Oryzias latipes: one gene and its partner. The protein of the gene in region 2 purifies or fractionates together with the protein of the main gene of each other region. This does not show direct contact. Links are inferred from orthologs where the notes say so. Each region holds a gene or a part of one and is shown on either strand. Other genes may lie near its edges.

What was found. The genes of interacting proteins can lie anywhere in the genome.
Region 1: the proteins of gli2 (region 2) and sufu purify together in Homo sapiens (affinity purification with mass spectrometry; 3 studies listed by BioGRID and IntAct, with this or other methods). This does not show direct contact. The link is inferred for Oryzias latipes from reciprocal best matches to the Homo sapiens genes GLI2 and SUFU.

What each region holds. Positions count from the first base shown.
Region 1 is NC_019873.2:23,437,437-23,445,514, reverse strand, and holds the start of sufu (suppressor of fused homolog), read left to right. Parts: upstream 1-3,359; 5' UTR 3,360-3,540; coding exon 3,541-3,689; intron 3,690-4,059; coding exon 4,060-4,194; intron 4,195-4,381; coding exon 4,382-4,518; intron 4,519-5,400; coding exon 5,401-5,543; intron 5,544-6,250; coding exon 6,251-6,336; intron 6,337-7,156; coding exon 7,157-7,229; intron 7,230-7,647; coding exon 7,648-7,804; intron 7,805-7,889; coding exon 7,890-7,992; intron 7,993-8,078. UniProt on the Homo sapiens protein: Negative regulator in the hedgehog/smoothened signaling pathway. Down-regulates GLI1-mediated transactivation of target genes. Down-regulates GLI2-mediated transactivation of target genes. Part of a corepressor complex that acts on DNA-bound GLI1.
Region 2 is NC_019860.2:10,603,526-10,611,301, reverse strand, and holds the start of gli2 (zinc finger protein GLI2), read left to right. Parts: upstream 1-2,414; 5' UTR 2,415-2,824; intron 2,825-7,776. UniProt on the Homo sapiens protein: Functions as a transcription regulator in the hedgehog (Hh) pathway. Functions as a transcriptional activator. May also function as transcriptional repressor. Requires STK36 for full transcriptional activator activity.

The DNA.
Region 1 (8,078 bases), on a different chromosome or scaffold from region 2:
ACTTCTCTGCTCTGAGGGTCAGACACTCTGCTTCATCCTTCCTTGGAATTTGGAGGGAAAAAGAGAATGAGAAAACTTTGGGGAGGATCGGAGCTAAACTGGACAAGAGGAAAACGCTTGGAGCATTTTATATGGAGGGTTTTGTCGGGTAAATCTAGGATTTTTGAAAACAAAAGGTAGGTTTTGGTAAAAATGTCAATGGACATTTTGTTTATTTTTCAATATAGCTCTGCTGAGAGAAAAGTGACTTCCACATTATATGAATATGAACTTTATGGAGCAGCTTGGCCCCTGAAGAAGAGGATTTTTATTCTGTGTAAACTTAAAGATGTCTTGTAAAGTAATAGGTAGGAGAACCGGTTGTTTCCCACTCCAACTGCCAGAAAGATATGAGTTTCCTGAATGTGTTTAGGTGTGGCCTCGCTCAGAAAATTCTCTGCACATTTTGTACACAATTAGAATCTAAAAAGCCACATAAAGAAAAGAAGGCAGTCAGTGAAATAACACTGACAATGTATCTCACTGTACTGCCAGAGGTAACATTGACTCCAGACCTTGAACAAGGTGCTTTTCTTTCCAGCGATGAGAGTGAGCTGCACAGGTCAGTTAATGTCAAACTTTGGTTCAAAAATGCCCTAACCGATCTTTTTCCTGCAATAGTGTTTCTCTGTATCATTTCCTGGAAGTGTGCGGTCATAACAGATGAGTAATTTCATCCCTTGGTCAGAACACAATCGCCCTGATCTGATTCGGCGCTCATATATGAGCTTGTTAGACTATCGTGTTAGTGGTTGTAAAGCATTTCCAAGAATACTGCTGCTTCTAACATGATCAGCTCTTTCAGCAAACCCTAGAACCTTGTGTGAGTTTTACCCATGCACGCTCCTGTCTGCTTCCTACTTTTCTTTTTATTTGAAACTTTAAGAAATATACCTTTTTCACATTTCCAAGCAAAAACGTACTAATGTTTTATTTTTTTAAAGTACACCACAAGAAGAGATTGAGATGAATATCAGCCTCTGTTAAACTTAGTCAGCACATACTTAGCCGTTGCTCAATCTTTAAGTGAAAGAAGCAGAGTTGACGTTATCACATCATCATCTTCTGAGGAAGTGCAGATGAATGACTTAGCTACATCATGAAATCACATCACTTACTTTAAATTATCCTGACTTAAGAATCTTGGTGGTTTTTGTGTTGTCTTGTATCTATTCTTTAATGCAAAAATGTGTAAAAACGTTGATGCTCGAGTCAAACAACTTTGCTGTTCGAGGATCAACTCCTGAAGGCGGTTTACGAGAAGTGCTCTACTATGAGAACTGAATTCCATAGATGGTAGCTTTTCTAGGTGTCATCTATGGGCTCAGTTCTTTTGGCATGGTACTGGTTTGTCGAGCATGCCGCAAAGCAACAGACCACGTGCATGTAAAGCCAAGAGTTCTTGTGCAATGAACATTTGTGGATGGTTTTATTATGATTGTATGTTATACATCTGTTTGAAATGCAAATGAATTTCTTTCAGATTATACACTTCAACTAATGTAATTAAAAAGAATAAATAAAAGATGGATGTTGTTTATTTTATATTCTAATAAAATATTTGAAACTATCTTTGTCAATAAGTTATTTTAAATTTTTTTGCTGTTTGTTGAAAGTACCAGCTTATCTCATCCGCATCTCTGTGTTTCCTCAAAAGCTGGATCCATTGTAATGGTGGCCAGCAACAATTTTAAAACAAACCTTTAAACCATTTTGTGTTTGATTTTTCTCAATGAAAAGAACATAAATTAATTGGGCGTTATCAAAATGTCATCAAAAATCAAAATTGTATAGTATTGATGCTTACAAAACCCAGAAATAACCCCTAATCGGCAAATAGAATTGTTCTATCTGGAAAAGTTGTGACGCTTCCACCCAGATCTCTTTAAAATTTGATCTGGAAAGCAAAATATTGATTGAGACATAATGAAAGCAGAAGCTTTTAATTAAGAGATTATTGTGCATGAAAGCAGTTGTGTCATTGTTTTGCAATGAACCATGTTCGATCTTGAAACTACAGTTGACACATCAGTTTATTTAAGGAATTTCTTCCTGAATCACATAACACTGTCCCACTGTAAGATCAAAACAGATACCACTGACAGGTTGCACAGCGAGGTTTGGAATTCTTATCTTTACTCATGTCCCACGCAGAAACCAATTTCTCTCTTGTTGAAAGACGTTTCCCCTCAGTTTCACCCACACCTGATCTCACACAAAATGATCAAAAAACAGATTTGACTACAATTTACACAGCTGTTCATCTGCAACGTTCTGTGTGATTAAAGAACAAATCTTAATACCAAAGGAATTTATGACAGGCAGGTGGGGATGTTTTGTGTTTTTATAATAATTTTGATAATCCGTACATCTTTTAAACCCCCCTTTTGGGGTTAGACGGTTGCTGAAGCCTTGATGGACAAAGGTTAAGTATGCGCTGGGCAGGTTGCCATTCTGTCACACACACTTAAGGGGCAATTTAGACATTTCAATTAACCTATGAAGCACATTTTTAGACAGTACGGTAAGAAGAAGTTGGAGTTCCCAGAGAAGACCTGGAAAAGCCCCATAGCTGGGATTTGAAGCAGAGCCTTCATGATGTGAGACAAGAGTGCTGACCACTACACCAGCGTGCAGCCCAATTTTGACATATCCTTCTATGGTGGGGTTATATTTTATTATTTCACTTTCATGCTCATTCGGAGCAGAAGGAAAGGTTATCCCTCATCCTCAGTGTCTCCAATTTGAGCACATTCAGAAACAGTGTGTGTATTACTCCCCACAGCAAAAAAAAAAAAAAACATTTTTATTGATTTTGTCTAGTTGTTTTAGGGTTAATTCATTCACACAAAAAAAAATCCAAAGCTCCCTACTTGGATTCTTGGCGCCTTTTGTGTTGATTTACATTAAATGTCATCACTCTTTTGAAATTTGTTCTGTTTTATAATAAAAGAATAATATAATAGCTGCCATGAGGTCATAATTATTTAAGACCAATTTTAGATACAAAAAAAAATAATATGGAGGCCATCAGGTATATATTTTGTATATCTGTTTTGCTGTTGGAGTACATTTCCCTATGAGTAAAAACCTAATGAAACATCAATCCGTCCGCATAAGCACTGGCCTCTACTATAGTTGCATCATATAGGTTAATTGAAAACTATAATAATAAAAATGACAACAATAATTTTTTGACCACAGTTTTTTTAAGTCCGACACAGCGGCTCAAAAAGCTCCACTCCTATTGGTGGATAGAAGCGTCGATCTGTGACGTCATCCTCCCTGGCCAACCAGCTGTTTGGTGTTTTTTTTTTTTTTACCCCTTGTGGACAATGAGCAACAGGCCCCTGAGTTTAGCACAACGAGGAGAGTTCACTGTTACACAACGCCTTGCTTTTGAGAGATTTCTTTATTTTAGTGTCCTGAAAAGTAACTGAATTTGTTTATCTTTATTTTTTCGTCTTACAAAGATAATTCTGGATTGTTTGAGGCCGTGGTATGGACGAGATACGGCCTGTTAGCGGTGCGCCAGCCCACGGGCTGGTACCACTGTTTCCTCCGGGGCTGCAGGCTATCTATGGGGAATGTCGGCGACTTTATCCCGACCAAGCCAACCCGCTGCAAGTTACTGCCATTGTAAAATATTGGTATGTAACAAACCATTATTTTTAATCTGACAAAAATCTTTATAAGAGACTTTTTTGTGTGTGTTCTTCATGAAGCGATAGCTAGCATTAGCAGAGAAAAAGTTTAGCCTAGCTAAACAACTTAGCTAACATTTGGGAGATTTCTTCAAACAAAGGATGTTATTTTGATGGAATTCGGAATTTTAGCACCAAGTTTTATTGTTAAATAAAGCACAAAAAAGTGTAAATAATAACACTAAAATCTTTTCATCTCTCAGTCAGTTTAGGTACACATGACAGGTTTTGGAATAAACGTAGTTTTTTGACGCATCATGTATTGATCTTAATGGAAAACTTGCTTTTAATAAATGAAATGTTGTCTATACATTAGGCTTGGTGGGCCAGACCCGCTAGACTACATCAGCATGTACAGAAACATGGGCCGTCCTGCTCAGGACGTTCAGGAGCATTGGCACTATGTGAGCTTTGGCCTGAGTGACTTATATGGCGATAATCGTGTTCACGAGTAAGTTTTTGCAAATTTATTGACATGCTATTAAAATCATGATTAATCCAAATGTTGATATGGTACTGCACCCCCCCCCCCCCCCCCCCATAGTTAGCCATATGTTTTGATCTGTATATATCAATGCAGAGATTACCAAGGCAAGCCCTGCTGTTTATAAAAACATACACAAATTTACGTTTTTCAGATTTACAGGGGCAGATGGACCTAGTGGGTTTGGCTTTGAGCTCACCTTTAGGCTCAAAAGAGAGGTCGGAGAGACTGCACCTCCCACATGGCCAGCTGAACTCATGCAAGGATTGGCACGATATGTCTTCCAGTCAGGTAAAAATCGCAATCTGGTGCTCCTTCAATGTCCACATGCATTCAGATGATGCTGAAACATACATTCTCATGGATGGATAACAATTTTGAAAGTTTGATGGACTCCTGTTCTTGATGTACATTAAAATCCATAAAACCGTTTGTGAAACTGGTTGCTGCTAGTACGGCGTTTAAGTATTTAGCTCTGTTATTCGTTTTAACTATACATCCATTTAATTTAGGAACGTTGATTACTTTTTAAGGCAATTCTTTTCTTGGCATATGGTCTTCCAGTTGAAATCAATTTTTTTATTTATTGAGAACTGTTTTTTTTTATTATTCTATTTCAAAGATAAAAAAGATAGAGTTTTGTGGCTCCTGTAAACATCAAGAGTTGAAATGCTATGTTATCAGGTTTCTAGTTTTCTTCTGAGCCTGGATCAGAAAAATGTGGCTGAGTTGGGGTAGACACAAAGGAGGGGAAGCCGTTTACTCTAGGCTCTCATTTCCAGCTGGGGTCAGTTTGGATGTGGGTGGGCTCCTAAACAGAATGATTGCTGATTTTTCTGACCATCCTCCCCTTTGCTTCTCTTCTGAGTCCAGATAGGGAGCTTGTTGCCACCCAAGCAGATGCATTCACTCAGATGGATGAAGGCCATTTATTTAGTTTTTCTTGTTGTTTTCTTCTGATTTTCTACTCATCCTTTTTGTTATGTCATTTTTTGGGGTTCTTATTGCCTTGATTTTGTTATTCTTATATTTCTGTGCAGTGATACAGTAAAGTAAAGGAATGAGGAATGAGTTTGAAAACACAGACCCAGATGTACTAGACTTGATCTCATGACAGTCTTAACTTCCAACCGCATTGGTTGAACTAAAAAATAAAAAACTGCCTCTCTACAGAAAACACCTTTTGTAGTGGTGACCATGTTTCATGGCACAGTCCACTTGATAACAGTGAATCTCGGATCCAGCATATGCTGCTCACAGAAGACCCGCAGATGCAGCCAATCCAGACTCCGTTCGGCACAGTGAGCTTCCTTCAGGTGAATCCAAATTCCCTTCAGCTACAGAGTTCATAAGAATATATAGATATTTCTTTAGTTTTTGTTTGTTAACCACACTTTAATATGTTAGGTCGACCGGGTTTGTATATAATAAATATAGATTGGCATATTATTTTTCTGTGATTATCACAAAAAAAGGGATTTAAAAATGTATTTGTCAGTATCACAGTTTTGGTTTTTGCATTTAATTCTGTTAATTAAACATTCACTTTGAAGGTTCTTGTGTAACAAAGAAGGAAAAAACTGTTACAAAAACACTCCAATGACTGTTTCTACTGTCACGCTTCGTATTGTTTCTTTGCCTCGCTCACTTGTGTTTTTCTGGCTCATCTTTTTGGTTCATCATATGTGGATTGTTTGAATCTGAAATTCTGAGGTTTTCATTCTAGCGCCGCTGCTAAACTGTTAACCTTTTGTTTCTTTTACTTAAGTCAAAATGTCATATGAACATCAGAGAAATAAAACTTTCTTTTCAAACTGCATTTAAGGAACAGGAACAAAAAAATAGCTTTTTTTTTTACATGTTTCCAACTCTATTCAAATGTCTTATCTACACTCATCTGTTTTTAAAGGTCATACTCAGCATTATTCGTGTAAATAGCTAAAAGATTATCCTATATATATGCATTAACTATAAACAGTGCAAAATACCAATAACTGGTTCTGGTGGGTTTCCTTTTCATCAGATTGTGGGTGTTTGCACAGAGGAGCTGCAGGCGGCCCAACAGTGGAACGGCCAGGGCATCCTGGAGCTGATGCGTGGAATCTGCATGTTAGTAGAACAGAGTTTCGTTTGCTTTTTTGGTGTCCTCATTCTGTTCCTACAGAAAGAAAGAGGCTCTGTGATCTTTTCACTCCCTCAACAGTGTGATGCTTTTCAATACTCATTTCAAAATGGATTCTTTTAGCATCAGCCCACCTGATGGTTTCTCTGTTTCTGTTTGAAAGGTTATTACAGCGAATTTGTGCTTTGGTTTTCCTTTAGGTCATTTAGATTTGATTCATTATTTTTCCAAAGTTGCAAGCATAATTAAAAAAAAATCAAATATTATATACAATAAATATTGATAGATGTGATGCAGAAGTCTCCTTATTTATAGGAAAACATATATTTGAAATGTTTTTTGGTGTGTGCTGCAAAATCTCTCATAGGTTAAAATGTATATGTTTTTGTAAAGTCCCTTGTTTTCTGAATGACGAAAAGAATTTAGTGAACAGAATATTTTAAAATAATTTTTTAGACAGTCAGACCATGACAGGCTAAATGTTAAGGTGTTTAAAAAGAAAACTGAAATCTGTGTTTTAGCTAATGTGCATCCACTTTGACTAAGTAGCAATCATCTTTGATTTCCGCTAAGATTTGACTTAAATGTAAAAAATAACTTTTTTGGTCAGTTCTTTTATGTCAGAAACAAGTCTGCTGGGATTTATTAAGCTTTTGTATTAGTTTAGGTATAATCTGTGTGCCTAAATTTGTTAATTAAAGTTTTAAGGGGATTCCCTGGGTGTAGTAATTGAGAAATGCAGTTCTAATTCATCTATACATGCCTTTTTCAACCTGAGGTTAATGTTGATGCTCCCTCTGTGTGCAGAGCTGGTGGCCCTTGGCTTATCACAGACATGAGGAGGGGAGAAACCATTTTTGAGATCGATCCACACCTACAAGTAAGGTTTTATTTAGCATCACGTGGAATGTGAAGCTCTTATTTGACATATTAGTATGAATCTAGTTTAGATGAACTGAAATACATGACAATAGCTTTAAAAATCTTAAAATGATTAGGGATTCCTGCTCATCTTTTTATTTGATCCTTGCACATTTGATTGTTGACTGGTTTTTATTCTATTTATTTTTCTGTATACCATGTATATTGACAATAAAGGCTTTCTATCTTATTCGTAGAAATTTACAGTAAATATATTAGACAGAAGTTTAGCATTGGAGGCTTTTAAATCCAACCAGTTGGAAATTGTATTATTTTTAAGTTGACATTCTTTTTCCTTGTATTCCTAAAAATGTTAACTTTTGTATATTTGTCTATATAAATGTAAATGATTGTGGGTTTTCTATGGCTTTTCTAAGCAGGAGAGAGTGGACCAGGGCATCGAGACCGAGGGCTCGAACCTGAGCGGTGTCAGTGCCAAATGTGTGTGGGACGATCTGAGTCAGCCGCCAGAGGATGAGGAGGACAGCAGATCCATCTGCTTAGGATCCCAACCGCGGAGGCTGTCAAACAAAGGTAAAGCCCCGCCCCACATAGAGGTAAAACTGTTTCTGCCTCAGAAGAAGACGTTTTCAGCGTTTTTTGATATGTTTAAAAACAGACACGGAGCAAATCAGAGAGACATTAAGAAAAGGACTGGAGTTTAACAGCAAGGCAGCACTACCGCCCATCAGCAGCCAGAAGCAGAGTCACGAGAGGGCGCAGTGAGTGATCCTCCCACACTAACACCAGCTCAGCACAGGCTCTGCAGGACGTTCACTGCAGTAACCCCAGCCGACCCTGACATCTG
Region 2 (7,776 bases):
TATTTTGCTAATCTTGATTTATTGGCAGAAAATAAATCGTTTAGAAGTATGTCTGCATCAGGTTTGGACTTTGAATTTTGTAATTCATTAAACACAAACAAATTCTTGAATTGATACGAGATAAAAAGATAAAAAAATAAGTGAAATACCAAAATCTTATTGCACTAAGTAGAACCAACTAAACTTATTTTTGGGATCTCAGTAAGGGAGACCATTTGTCAAAATAGCATTATTGATAAGGGTTGTGCATTATAGGAGTGTCATTAATCTATTCACTCTTTCTGCTCTTCTTTCCTTTATTTTCATTTTTCTAGTTCCATTAAGTTAGAATTTGCAAATATTAACGAATATTTAGTGGTACTTATTCCTTTTACATTTTATACACGACTGAATATAAAATAATAAAGGTAATGTTATTACCTTTATTATTTTATATTCAGTGTCAAAAAAGACTACTGAAAAATAAACAGCGAAAAAGAAAACAGATGTCTGAGTCAAATTGGTTCCATCCCTCAAAATAATTATAATAAGTATTTAAATATTACCCAACTAAATTAATATGGATAGCTGATAGTTTGATAAATAGAAATAACGGTTTTTTTATGTAAATGTATTTCCGTCTTGTCTCCACTAGATGTCACTATTTTCCTTCAAAACTTAAGTAGATTTTTTCAATTAGAAACTTCCACAACAAACTCAACAAATACATTACATTTTTTCTGTTGTTTTGTTCATTTCCTTCATTTTTTATTTTATTAATTTTTTTTGGAGCAGCTTTGAGAGTCCTGTCCTTAATTGTAACTACAGCTTCACCTTTTCTGATTGACTATCTAGGATTTAGGTTTAAAATAATTTTGTTTAAATTCTATCACTTTAGTCGACCCATATTTCAGAAAACAGATGCAAATCATCACTTTGTAGAAAGATTTAAAAATGGATTTTTATTTGTAATGAAGAGGAGTGTATTTAAAAAATAATAATATTTAATAATGAACTTCCATATCTTCCCAGTGGAAATTTTTCTTTCCTAAAAAAAGAGGAGTTCAAATCAAACACATTTAGTTTGAGATTGTCAGGAGTTTTTTTTTGTTTTCTAACTGGGTTTTCAATATTTACTCTGTCTTTCATAACGCCACATTTTTGTCCTACTTTTGTTCCTTTTCTGTGGAACATCATCCTCCCCCTGCTGCTGCCACATCCATCAAGTATAAAGGCCTTATCCCTAAAAACTGTAACTTGTTTTTTGTTGCAAAATGACTTTTCATACTTGACCCTGGTGCAATCCTATGGTGGATAAAGGTGCAGAGGATTTCATGTAATCCATGGACACCAGTGAAGATCACAAATCATTGAAGAAAAAACGTTCAGCGCACTGTCTAGTGGGTCTAGATGACCCCACTCCCGATATCAGAGTGCCTAGGATAGAACAAGGGTTAAGTAAGTAAAGATAAAAGATTTCACAAGATAAAAACATTCTGTATTTTCTGCTTGAACCTATTGTATACAGTGTGCTTTTATTTCAATGTTATGTCTGTTTGTGCATCTAGTTTAAATGAACATCTGTTTAGATTCCTCACAGGAAGAACTTGGTACATGCAGAACACAGAACCAACACTAGAGGTCAGGCTTCTCTGAGATAGCGGTCCAGATGAGAGCTTCGCAGAGGAACTTGAAACTGGAGTCATCCCAGTTTGAATCTGACTTAAAGTTCATTGAAACAGTTCAAAGAAGCTGGGACTAACTTCAGATCAGGGGCGGAGCTAGCAGGGCGGGAGAGGGGCAGTAGACTTTGGAATGGTGGCAAATGAGAAAAGCAGAGGTAACGGCCATTACAAATAAAAAATACATACTTCAAACTATTTTATTATTATTACGAATGTTAAAACAGCTTTTCTTTTAACCAATGTGCTATTTCTAATGCTTAAAGAAGCTTGTTTTGATGATTTATTAATATTTGTCAATGAAAATACTAATATTGACTCAAAAATTAGAGGGGCGGACATTTTGCGGGGGAGGGGGGCAGCCTTGTCCCCTGTAGCTCCGCCCCTGCTTCCGATTATTTTACTATTTTTATCTGATTGAAAAATGTATTCTTATAAATGGGTGATAAGACTTGTTTGGGTGAAAAAAATACATTTTAAACTTTTTACTTCACCTAGGGTCAGCTTTTTTGTCACAAATCATCACACTTGTTGGTCAAATTTAAATTTTCTGGCAAAATCAAGATGCAAATATCAGGGATTGATGAGAAAAACAAACTAACAAACAATTTTTTTAAAGCCAAAACTAACCCAAGATGTTTCGTGAAATACTCTAACAAGTGTATTTGAAGAAGATTTAAATTAATAAAAGAGCTTTAATGAGCCAATCAAAACGAACTGGGAAGGGAAATATCCAGCAGGATCCATAATCGATGATTGAACATTAGTCCCGTTGAGAGGCGGGTGCGGAGTAGGAAGGGGGGAGTCACAAGAGGAAGAGGAGGAGGAAGAGAAGTGGGGTGTGCGGAGGGGCGGTGAGGAAGAAAATAACGGCGCATCCTCGCGGCTCAGCAGCATCCCGACCACGCCGCCGCAGTTCGGAAAGTCCTGCCAAGTTTTCTCCAGAGAGGCCGCCGCGCGCGCGTGCCGCGGCCGATGGAGCCGCGCGCCTCCGAACTTCCAGCTCCGCGGTACTTTTCCAGGGAGAAGTACGAGAGTGAGCGCCGCGCGCCTTGACACGGATAGGAACCCGCGCGGCCCGGACTGGTTCCGTCTTTCTGACGAAACTTTCCGAACCCAGACTTAGCTAACCATAAGAGACAACACGAAGCACAAGCAAAGGGGTGAGTCGAACTTTTTCCCGGAGATTTTGATAAGATTTAGATTTCCACTTTAAAAAAAAAAGGTAATTTGCTTACTTTTTAAAAAGAATATATATATATATATATATATATATATATATATATATATATATATATATATATATATATATATATATATATATATATATAATGCTCATATCAGGATAAAAATAAAATATAAGATATATAGAGATAGAAAGGATTAATTGAGTTTGTGCAATGATGGGAATTATATTTATAGCTGTTAAAATGCTGCTTAATCAGGTCACTGATGGTGATTCATTTTTTCAAAAACTGCATTATTTACATATTTTCACAGTTTCAGGGTCTAGCAGCATCTCTACGTGGCTGGACATTATAAAAAAATTACAATACTCATTTTATAGGGAGCAGAAATTGATGTTTGCATCAAAAAGACTTTCAAATATTTACTTGTTAGTCCAAATATGAAATCTCATTTCTGGTGTTTGTGAAGGTGGAACATCTCCTCTGCCTGGAGCTGCTGCGGCTTTTCTCTCCGCCTGAAAGGCCGCCTGCGTTCATTTGCATCAGAAAAAAGTTTTAGTGCATTTGCTTTTGTGCAGGATGAAGAGTTCCAGCAGTCAGGGAGCAAAAGGGGGGGGGGGGGGGGGCTGAAAAGATGTGAGGAAATAATGGGGCCCTTCACATTATTCAGGATGACATGAAGGGGGGGCTCCCAAACCTGTGAAGGGATGTCACTTTCATCCAGCGCTGCCGTTTTCACACAAGCCCGCCCTGCGCCCGTCATTACCGGCCCTGCTGCGGGTTCTCCCCAAAAATCTGCGCAGAGTTTAATGAGAGAAAAGAAAGAATAACACGCGGGGGCTGCACGGGGAGAAAGGCATGCGGGCGGCCACGGGGGCGCGATAAATGGGAATTGGAAGTGAGTAAAACACCCCGCTGTGATGACTCAAAAGTCTCTTATCCCACAAAACAACAAGTCCGCACCAATTACAGCATGTGGCCCCGGGGCCTTGCCGCAGGATCCTTGAGCAGAATAGCAGCATCAGTGGATTTAGAGAAGGGGTGGCAACGAATCCACAGATGTCAGACCTGCTAAAACACATCAACCATCAAGGAATCCACTCAGTTCACCTTTAAACTAAACCAGAAAGCATCGACGCGGGGGCTCGTCCGGGATCATTTGACTCATTTTGGGCGTTAATCATAAGAAGTAAAAGATTTTTTTGAAATGAAGTCATCTCATCCGACCTTTTTTCATCATCTTTCTGATCAAAATTTTGTCTCACAAATGAAACAGCTAAAGGTTGTTGTCAGACTTGTGAGGTTTGCTCGGTGAAACTAGCGTTTGTGTGTAAATGAGCTCGAGTGAAGCTGGTAGAAAAGTGCAGACAAATGTTTGTGTTGCGTTCACGCCGTCGGGGCCGGACCCTCACGCCTTACTTCCTGTGGAGTGTTTAGATGACGGCCGCTCTGGTTTCATGAGTAAGTGGATTACAACTGTTTAGTTTTCTGGCCGACCCCGACTAATCGCTGGCAAACAGTCTGGGGAGTGAAAACAGGATGATTATTTTGACAGCAACGCTGTAGAAATAAGGAAGGCTGGAGGAGCTCATAAATTCTGCAACTTTGTCAAACACGCACCCTTGTGCGCATGCACGTGTGCACACACACACACACACACACACACACACTCTGCTTTATAAACATTTATTTTTAGAGTCACTCTGAAGATCTTCATCCAGCAGATCTTCCTTAAGATCAGACAGAGGAAAGCAGCCATCATACAGCAGCAATTACACATGATGAAAACACGCCTTTGTTCATGAAACGCAATCACACACACACACCGACACACACACACTAAGGACCAGTAGACATGTGAAATCAAAGGTCCAGGGGCCGCTGAGGGGGGGGCTGTAGTTCCTCCTCTGTGAGCTCGTCAGATTGGCTTTGATGCATTTGTTAATTAACTCCTGCAGGAGCGTGTTGGCGCCACCATCGGGCTGCGTGACACTGCAGCTCTTTGACAAAAACGACGGTCCCGACACCGTCAAAGGGGGCGATGTCAGCAAGTCAGAGATGAAGAGTGCCCTCCTCTGCCTCAGGCAAGGACGGGGAGGTTTACGTGGTTTTCTTTGGCTGTTGCGTCTCTATGAGGCTTCATCCAATCGGGGTTCACCCCCCCCCCCCCCATCTGCTTCTGTCCATAGGGGCCCCCTGGTGGCATTCCATTAATGCTGGAGCGTCACAGGTTTGTCCTGTCATCCGCTGTTAGCTCTCCCTGAAGGTGAGGACGACACCTTTGAGATTCTTAGTCGTCTCCTAGAAAACATTCCATCTTCCTCGCCGTTTTCCAGTCACTTACAAACTCATAGAGAGCGGAAGCATCGAAGCTTTTGAATAAAGAGAGTAAGCTACAGAAAAAGAGATTTGTGGGTATTCTTTTTGGTACGTCGAGTGAGCTCATAGTTTTGCAAAAAAAAAAAAAAGAATCTCAAACACACCAATTCTCTCGAAACAATTCCAGTCTAGTTAGTTAGAAAATGTGAGTACTTTCAAGTTGCAAATGGTCAACGAAAAAAGGGAATCGGACATCTTAGGCACACGAGTGATGCAAAACACGCTAATAAAGTTAGTTTTTACTCCATTATAAGCGGCATTAGTGTGGTCCGATTCATTTTTATCCATGGCCCTCAATGCCAGACACGTCGCAAATAACAAGCGTTCTTTGAATTATCGCAACTCTTCAGCTGTTTACGCAATGGACGTAATCCCAACGGATTCTGACTTGGACAGAAGCAGCTTTGCGCCAATATTCTACACTTTACAGTGATAAAGTATTGACACAATTAACGTAAACCAGCTGAAACCTACGCAGGGAAAAGACGGTTTACGCAGATATGCTACACTCAACAGAAGTAAAGAGTTTACCCAGTTAACGTAAACCAGCTGATTGTGACGTGGAAAAAGGCAGCTTGCACCACTAATTACGTTAATTGCGTGAACGGTTGAAGAGTTAGGCTAGTTCAAAAAACATCAACACTGGAGCCAACGCTCAGATGTTAAAGGACTCGACGGTCAGTACGATTATACATGTATATTTGTGTGTGTAACATTTAATTTCTCAAAATTTAACTGTTAGCTAACCTTACAGTTAGCTAACCTTATGCTATCTTATTTTAATCGTGTCAATCATAGTAAGTCTTTTATTTTCACTTTGGAGGTTTCATATTTGAATTTTTGTGCGTTCAGAAAGCGAGGTAAGCATGTGCAGAGGGCCTTGTTTTCAACTGCCAAAACGGGAAAATTAGAAAAAATTAAAACCTTTTGGCAACCAAAAAATCAAAATCCCTGACAGACTTGGATGGTTTGAGACAAATAAACTAAACATTAAATGCTTACTTGTGTGTATTTAGATAAAAATGGCTCCTCTAGCAGTTAATTAGTTGAATCGGTGACTTAATGTTTGGAGGTGACAAAGGCTCACCGCGGTGACCTTTGGGGTCCACGCAGGCGGCGCAGCACAGGAAGTGATGGTCCACTCGAGCTGTAAAACAGCGAGTGGCCATGCTGCAGCTGAACCATTTGGTTGAGGGTCAAGGATCAAAGCGGCCACGGAACCTCAGTGGCGAGCTGGAGTGGACTTCACACCGCCATCAACACGCTGGAGGCTGCTGTGAGAGGTTTAGAAAGTCAAGGCGTGCAGGCTCCTAATAAGGGCTGACAAAGAGGTGCAGGGGTCAGGTTTTTAGGCATTAAGTGACGCTAAAGGGCTTCAGAGTCTCGCCTGTCAAGGTCTGACACAGCAGGGATCAAACCCGAGACACAGCAGCTTTAACACCGGAGGAAGTAGAAAAAAGTGGAGCGAGGTCTTCAGGAACTCGCTTGAAGAGCTCCAATCAATCTTTGGTGTCAGAAAGTGTCTGTGCTGTTTTATCACTAAAACTGACTGACTCTTAAGCATTTTTCACCCCGAAATTCAAAAGTTTCTTCCAACTCTTAGAAAACGTTTGATGCCGTTCCCCTAAAATGGAGAAATCAAGCCAAAGTTGAACGGAGTACCTTGCTGTTGAGTGCATTAGACATTAGACATTGATTCGGTAAAAAACCCAACATTCTCTGGACTGAAATGTAAAAAAAAGCAGATTATGTTGCAAATTTAAGACCTTAAAGGCTCCTCAATCAAAGCAGGGCCTGAACACAACTTCGTGGGAACTCGTGGATTCAAACACTTTACAGGAAATCACAGATACGTCACACCATGTTGCGGTTAAGAACTGGTGGCATGCCCTTTGTCACCCGAGGAAGCCACCCTCTGCCCTACCTACCCCCAACATCAACCAATGAACGGTCAGAAGAAGAGATTGTATTACCGCGCTAGACTTTTCCACAGAAAACTGTCTGTCTGGAAGAAAAAAAAAATACACGCCGTGTCCACGGTCTGTCTTGTACGACACAATGTTTGTTGTTGCTCATGCTGAGATGTTTTGAGCGGGCTGCTGTGTGACGGGAGGCTTGGAATCTGGCATCTTTAACTGCTAAAGTCCTCTCAAGAGTCCTCTTCAACTGCTGGAGCTGTTTGTTTCTGGCGCTACGGCATTCCCCTCGTTTATCGTGGGAGTTGCGTTCTAAAAAATAACCCGCAATGAAGCTCTATGAAGTTGTCAGCTTTATTTTTATAGTTATTATGGATGTTTTAAGGCCACACACTTTATACACTTTTCTCACACAGACATGAACCTTTTCACACTTTCAAAGTTCAAACCTTTGTAGAAAAATACGTTTATAGTATCAAGTATCTGAAAAGCTGCTGAAGACTAAAGTAAATCTGGCAACGCGTGAAGGCATTCTGCACAGGACACTGCTTAACAGTGGTTCACAGCCAATCGGGACGCAGCACACATTTTGCCATAAAAATAAAAAAGCATGGACATCCCGCAAAACAGCAA